2 linked regions of the Macaca fascicularis genome follow. The protein of the gene in region 1 interacts with the protein of each later gene in a pairwise test. Links are inferred from orthologs where the notes say so. Each region holds a gene or a part of one and is shown in the gene's direction. Other genes may lie near its edges.

Region 1 (3,647 bases):
TGTTCTACCCACAGTAGCCAGGATAATGTTTACAAAACATCAATATGATCATATCAGTAGCCTGCTTGAAACCTGCGGATGATTTCAAGTTGCACTTAGAGTGAAATCCAGTATTCTAATGCTCTCTGTATCTGGCCCTTGCTTGACTCTCCAGCTTCATATTTTACTCCTCTATCACCCTCATTCACTCTGCTACACTAGCCTTCTAGTCATTTCCTCAAGCTGCCAGTTCTTTTTTGCTGTAGGACAGAGCTGTTCAATGGAACATTCTACGAAGATGGAAGTACTCTATATCTATACTGTTTAGTTTGCTCCTGCTAGCCCCATGTTGCTATCGGGCACTTGAAATGTAGCTAATGCAACTGAGAAGCTGATTTTTAATTTTAATTATGGTGAATGTAAATAGCCACACATGGGTAGTGTATTGGACAATGCACTTCTGGTGCTTTTGAGTGTGCTCTTCTCTCTGCCTGGGAGTACTCTCTCTCTCTCTCTTTTTTTTCTTTTTTTTTTTTTTTGAGATAGAGTCTTGCTCTGTCGCCCAGGCTGAAGTGCAGTGGCGCGACCTTGGCTTACTGCAAGCTCCGCCTTCCAGGTTCACGCCATTCTCCTGCCTCAGCCTCTTGAGTAGCTGGGACTACAGGCGCCCGCCACCACGCCCTGGTTAATTTTTTGTATTTTTAGTAGAGATGGGATTTCACTGTGTTAGCCAGAATGGTCTCGATCTCCTGACGTCGTGATCTGCCTGCCTCGGCCTCCCAAAGTGCTAGGATTACAGGCATGAGCTACCGTGCCGGGTCCTGCCTGGGAGTACTGTCTTACTCCCCCTGGCTAACTGCTACTCATCCATCAGATTTCAATTTGTTGCTTCTTCAAGGAGGCCTTCCCTGCCTCACCAATCTAAACCAGAAAATCTCATGTTGTTCTGTCTCATAGCCCCAGTACCTTTCCTATATAGTATGTAATAATAGTGAGTTTTTTCATTTTTCTGATTTAGCAGTTTGACTCCCCACTTAAGAGCATGGATCATATCTGATTTGTTCACCATATCTGATTTGTTCACCATTGTGTAATCAGTTTCCAGGGCAGTGCCTGGCACTTAGGAGAGGAGTTCAGTAACTCCCTCAAATGAATGCACTTTTTGAAACACTGTCTGCATTTTTAGAGTATCACAGTTCTTGGAAAAAGTTTACAGAGTGATTTTTTTATCTAGTCACAGTGACACTCTGAAAGGTATCTCCCAGAATATGTACTCTCTAGGGGCTTGTAGAAGGGACACAGGACCTGTATTCAGGTGTCTGTCTTTGGGAAGTTCTAGGTGTTATTATATACCTAGGACCTTCCAGTATTGTAGAATAGGTTTTTTTTTAGAGTGTATCTCCCATTATCTAATTGGTCATATGTAATCTTAGACCTAAGTTCTCCAGATGATTAATTAATTATATCTTCTCAAATAGCATAGTGCCTAATACACAGTAGTTCCTTGAAGGCTAATTGATAATGCTTTTCCTTTTTATTTTTTTTAAGACATTTATTCAGCATCACGATCAGACTATTACATTTGGCAATCAACAGCATGGCTGCAAAAAAAAAAATCTGCATTAAAACCCTTTGTTGGAATGCTTTACACTTTCCACAGAACAGAAACTAAAATAACCTATTATACAATTAATCACAAATACAGTCCTCGAGTTTTTTGCCCATACACATGAGTATTTGTGTAAAATATGTCTGCTTTGTAGCAGTTAGGCCCTGCCACCACTGTGCTTGGCTAAATTCACAAATCTGTTGTAACCTGTAGCCTCCCTGTCACTTCTCTGGCTCCCCCTCCAGCTAAGCTTTATTTCCTAATTAAAATCTTCTGCCATTGCCATAGCTACTGCTGCTACTGGAACCACCATAGCCACCTTGGTTTCGTGGTTTGGCAAAGTATTAGTCTCTACCACCATAGGGGCCCAGAGCTTCGGCCTCCAAAGTTTCCTCCCTTCATGGGTCTTGTAATTGCCAAAATCACTGTAGCTTCCACCACCTCCAGAATTGCTTCCATCATTACCAAATCCATTATAGCCATCCCCACTGCCGCTTATCCACCACCACCACAGCTGTCATCTCAACTGAAACCACCTCCACGACCACCAGCAAAGTTTCCAGAACCACTTCGACTTCTTTGGCTGGATGAAGCACTAGCCATCTCTTACTTTGACAGGGCTCTCCTAACTTCACAGTTGTGGCCATTCATAGGGTGTTATTTCTGAATGACAGTCTTATTCACAGAGTCATGGTCATCAAAGGTTACAAAGGCAAAGCCCCTTTTCTTGCCACTGGCTCAGTCAGTCATGATTTCAATCACTTCAATTTTTCCAAACTGTTAAAAAATCTCTTAGGTGATGTTCTTCAGTGTCTTCTTTAATGCTGCCAACAAATACCTTTTTCACAGTTAAGTGGGCACCTGGTCTTTTGAGAATCTTCTTTTGAGACAGCTCTCTTTGGTTCCATGACTCTTCCATCCACCTTGTGAGGCCTTGCATTCATGGCTGCATCCACCTTCTCCACAGTGGCCAATGTGACAAACCCAAAGCCCCTGAGCGCTTGGTGTTTGGATCTCTCATTACCACACAGTCCATGAGCATTCCCCATTGCTCAGAATGACTCCTTAGGCTCTCATTGGTTATTTCAAAGCTCAACCCTCCAATGAAGAGCTTCCTCCGCTGTTCGGGCTCTTTTGGAGACTCTGACTTAGACCTGAGGGCAGGGAGAAGACAGACTTTAAAGATACTACTTTGGCAGCATCCACGGGCAGAAAGGCGATAATGCTTTTGAAAACAGCAACTAATGATGTTAGAAAAGCTCCTGCTTCAGAGGCTTGGATGAACAATTTGAGGGGTGAGCCTGGAGATCATTAGATAACAATTATGACTAAAAATTATTTCAAGAGCTGATTGTCAATAAGGCAACAGATTCCCCCACCTACCTTCCCTAAAGTTAGAGAGATGACCAGAGGCAATTCAGGAATGGGGAAAATTCTGAAACGAAGGCCAATATGTGACTAGTGATTTATTACGTACTGTTTATCATTCATATGTGTGTGTGTGTGTGTGTGTGTGTGTGTGTGTGTGTGTATAACCCAAATTGACTATAATTCTTTTCCTGGTCTGTTAGCTGTGTCTGAAAAAAATGTTTTCCCAAGAGCCTAGCTGTTTCTGGAAGATGGGAAATAATGGTGATGGGCAATGGGAAAGCAGGAAGGAGAAAGTGAACGTGGTTACTTTTTGAGATGGTGAGCTAATTGGAAAACTAGGATCCACGGTGTGTAATTACACATTTACAGGTGGATTCTGAAGAGCCAGTCTTTGAGGCTGTCATCAACTGGGTGAAGCATGCCAAGAAAGAGCGGGAAGAATCCTTGCCTAACCTGCTACAGTATGTGCGTATGCCCCTGCTGACCCCCAGGTATATCACGGATGTAATAGATGCTGAGGTAAGTGGTGCAACACTCTCAGGATCCAAAACCTTGACAAACTCTTACCTTAGTGTTCTGTATTCAAAACTGATTATTTTAACGTAGGCACAGAGTCTCCTGGTTTGCCTGTCTAGGAATGCCAGTGAGAGTGGTGCTGGGTAGTTCCCAAGCATATTTCTAAGAAAAG
Region 2 (4,196 bases), on another chromosome or scaffold:
GAACTGCAACATTGGCTTTTCCTGGTTCCACCCTTCAGAGTTTGGACTTACTGGCCTACACAATTACACGAGCCAATTCCTTACAATAGATCTGGTTCTCTCAGTGTACACATCCTGGGTTCTGTTTCTGTGGAGAACCCTGACTAATAGAGGTACCATATGTCTTCCTTCCACCCTGCCCACAACTTAGTACCGTGCCTTTATTGTACACTCCTCTAATTATGTAACGCGAGCCCTGCAGTTTCCCGCCAGCTCTGTATGCCTTCTGCAGGCCAGCACGACGGCTGCAAGCCTCCCTGGAGGCTGCCCAGGCACCCGCCTCTTGGAAGCTAGGCCCTGACGACTGCTGGGTGTTCCTGCCTCTGTGGCATCCCCCGTCTATTGGGCCCTGTGAATTCAGAATTGTTTGTTGACTTGAAGCCAGAACAAGGTATTCCTATCCTTCCCACTTTCAGGGTAAGAGGTGTGAACCTCCAGTGTAGCAGATTCATTTCTCTCTGGTTTGTGGCCAAGTCAGAGCCATTTCCTAATGCCAAAAACAGAGACTGGACTTTTCTCTGTCTGTGGGAGATTTTACAACCCAGTCCTATTTCAAAGAGAAGACTGAGGCCAGGAGTGTCTTACCCGGAGTTGCCTGGTGAGTCAGCAGCCAGGAAACCAGGACCCCTTTGACAGTTTATGCTTTATGACCAGGTGCCCTTGTTCTCATTCATGGAGATTGATGACAATTTCTGCTCTTCTCCCAGTGACCTGCACAGTGATGCCAAGTCAGCCATTCTGCTCTGCCTCCTGGGGTCTGAACTGTGTTCTCCAGCAGGGATGGGGGATGCATGAAGCTGCACCCACTGCTTGGCCTAGAGAGAGCTGCTGGACCCCACTGACCACCAGGGGACAAGATGGGGATCTCACTGTGCACTCAGGCCACAACACCTGTGACTTAGGGGAGGGATTTTGGTCCTCACAGTCAGTGAAGTGGGCACACAGGTGGGGAAACATGGGTCTGACACCTGCTGGAGGCCACACAGCAGCATGTGGTTGGCAGGGCTGAGAGTTGCACCCAGGGCTGGGCACTATCAATTGCCTTTGACGGACATGGATTGGTCCCTAGAGGAAGCAGAGCCAGGGCAGCTGCAGCCCCAGCGGTCATAGCGCTGGGGTTGGGGAAACCTCGTGTGTGTCAGTGTGACTAGGAGGCGGTGAAGAATGCACTCCCTTCTGCATGCCCATAGGAGAAGCTCAAGGAGAGGCATACTTGGGAGGAGCCATGGGATGAAGCTGGAATGCTGGGGGTGGAGCCTGGAGAGCTTGGAGCCCTCATAAGACCTGACAGCCAGGAGAGGGCACATTTCAGGGACACCATGGAGGGTGGCTTCACTGGGGGTGATGAGTACCAGAAGCACTTCCTGCCCAGGGACTACTTGGCCACTTACTACAGCTTCGATGGCAGCCCCTCACCCGAGGCTGAGATACTGAAGTTTAACTTGGAATGTCTCCACAAGACCTTCGGCCCTGGTGAGCAGAGGGTGACCCTTCCCCTTGAGCCTCTCTCCAAGGAATCTGGATAGGGATGGGGATAAGGTGTCCTGGGGGCAGTCTGGTCTCCTCTAGGGGTTTTTGGGGGCGGGCTGAGGGAGCTGCTGGGGCCCTGCCCCTCTCTTTGGGCAGCTATTATACTGGAAGTTGGGTCTGTCTCCCCACGGCTCAGGAGCTGTGTGCCAGCTGAGGGATCAGGACCTATGGGAAGAGCACAGCCCCGTGCAGTTCCCACACTGCTCTCCATTAGCCCCTAGGTCTTTGGGGTGGAGCAGAAAAGGCTCTCCAGGTCATCATCAAGTTCAGTCCTAACCTTGCACAGCCAGGCCTCTGGGGCCCCCAGAAGGCCAAGGGCAAACAGCAGAGTTGTAGTGGGTCGGGATCGCCTATGCCCAGAGTGTGCAGCCCAGATGTGTCTGTGATGAGGACCTGGAAAAGCCCTGCCCTGGGACAAGGATTGCTAGGTGGGGTCTCAACCCTGTTGCAAACCTGACAGCAAGGCGCTCAGGCCCCAAGGACCTCAACTGAGCCATCTGTGCAATTGATGGCGACTTCTGCCTGTCTCCCAATGATCATTGCCCTCCCCACGGTGACCCCATGATTTGGTCACGTCTTCTAAACTCAAGCAGCCATGTCCTCACTTTGGGCACTTGACTGCGGAACAATAAGGGTGAGTCTCCTGGTGGTCTGGGGGTTAAGAGGGGGTTAAAAGACTGCTGAGCCTGGAGGAGCAGGCTGGTGCGGGAGGCAGAAATCAGAGAATAGCTGGACTGGGTGTGACCAAGCTTGGAAGGCCAAGTGATGGCCCCACGCCAGGGCTCCAGACAGAATGTTGGAAGTCATGCTTCATTCCAGCTTCCAGGTGACCCTGGATTCACTCCTGGGGCCATCTTCCCAGATCATCTCCTCAGCCCCGGCTTCCTATTCCTGCATGCTTACACCCCTCCCCACTCCAAGGAACAAGGAACCCATCCAGGAAGGGCCGGACTTCCAGGGGAGGCTCCCAGCTTCCAGTCAGCCTGAAACTTAAAGAGCCACTGCCCCCAGCATGTCCCCTCTGAACCCTCCAGCCCGAATCTTCCCCAGAGCAGGGCTTGGGCCTCTGTTCTCTGTCCCAGAAATATTATACTCTTGGCTTATGTTCTTGATGGAAAGATATTGGGCTAATTGTTTAACCTTTTTCAGACTCAGTTTTCTAATCTGTAAAATGAAAATAGTGATAGTAGTCAGTACACAGGGTAGTTCTGAGGTGTAAGTGGAAATTAATGCATATAAAATATTTGGTATGAGGCTTGGCTTACAGGGAACCGCCAATCCGTGATAACCACCATGCTTGGTGCTGTTTGCCCCTTGGGTAAGACCAGGATGTGTGTCCTCATCCCTGTGTCTGCCTTGGGTCTCGTTTCTCTTACCCGTCCATTACCAGTCTTTCCCTCCCACAGGAGGCCTTCAAGGGGACACACTGATCGACATTGGCTCAGGCCCTACCATCTACCAAGTTCTCGCTGCCTGTGAGTCCTTCCGAGACATCACTCTCTCCGACTTTACTGACCGCAACCGGGAGGAGCTGGAAAAGTGGCTGAAGAAGGAGCCGGGGGCCTATGACTGGACCCCGGTGGTGAAATTCGCCTGTGAGCTGGAAGGAAACAGGTAGCGGTGCAGAGGTTGTGGAGGGGGTTCCCAGTCAACCTTCTTTCTCAGAAGTCTCCCTGGCCTCTTGTTTGTCTCTGGCATTTTCAGGACAGTAGGACCTATAGGTACAGGACCAGATGTCCTATGGTGGGGACAGAGTAGATGGGGCCCCAAGTTTCAGGATTACAGCAGTTTTAGGTGCAAGTATCTGATCACAGGACTATGTTGAGGTGTGATATAATCAAGTATGAACACTGAAAACCAGATGATAGAACCTTTCCTTCCTTCTTCTCTTCCTTCCTTACCCTCATCTATATATCTACCTATCTATCTTCTATGTATCTAACTATCCATCCATCCATCCACCCACCGGTCCATCCATCCATCCATCCATCCATCCATCCATCCATCCATCCATCCATATTCATGCATCCACCCACCCATCCATATCCATCCATCCATCCGCCCATCCATATTCATACATCCACCCACCCATCCATATCCATCCATCCATCCACCCATCCATCCATTCACCCATCCATTCATCCATCCAGCCAGCCATTCACCCATCCATTCATCCAGCCAGCCAGCCATTCACCCATCCATCCATCTATCCATCTGTCCATTCATCCATCCATCAATATTCATCCATCCACCCACCCATCCATTCATCCATCCATAGCCATCAATCCATCCATCTATCCATCCATCCATTCATATCCATCCATCCATCCATCCATCCGTCCATCCATCCACCCATCCATCCATCTATCCATGTCCCTCCATGTTCATCCAGCTACCCACCCATCCATCCATCTTTCCTTCTTCCCTCTATTGTCTGTACCTGTGTGACTATATAATGCAGTGACATGAACCCACCACCCAACCTGAGTACTCGGATATAATAAAGACTTCTGTGCTTCTCTGTGACTCCTTGCCCCTGCCTTTCCTAACCCGAGGTAGTAACTAATATGAATTTTATGCTTATCATTCCCTTTTTCAAAACATTTTTTCTTGCATACTTATGTATA

What was found. The genes of interacting proteins can lie anywhere in the genome.
Region 2: the proteins of KLHL12 (region 1) and INMT interact in binary tests that used the Homo sapiens proteins (3 or more experiments, as listed by UniProt). The two-hybrid records come from large-scale screens. The link is inferred for Macaca fascicularis from reciprocal best matches to the Homo sapiens genes KLHL12 and INMT.

Annotation. Positions count from the first base shown.
Region 1 is NC_088375.1:60,664,793-60,668,439, reverse strand, and holds part of KLHL12 (kelch-like protein 12), read left to right. Parts: intron 1-3,328; coding exon 3,329-3,478; intron 3,479-3,647. UniProt on the Homo sapiens protein: Substrate-specific adapter of a BCR (BTB-CUL3-RBX1) E3 ubiquitin ligase complex that acts as a negative regulator of Wnt signaling pathway and ER-Golgi transport.
Region 2 is NC_088377.1:99,545,581-99,549,776, reverse strand, and holds the start of INMT (indolethylamine N-methyltransferase), read left to right. Parts: upstream 1-1,342; 5' UTR 1,343-1,358; coding exon 1,359-1,512; intron 1,513-2,975; coding exon 2,976-3,183; intron 3,184-4,196. UniProt on the Homo sapiens protein: Functions as a thioether S-methyltransferase and is active with a variety of thioethers and the corresponding selenium and tellurium compounds, including 3-methylthiopropionaldehyde, dimethyl selenide, dimethyl telluride, 2-methylthioethylamine, 2-methylthioethanol, methyl-n-propyl sulfide and diethyl sulfide.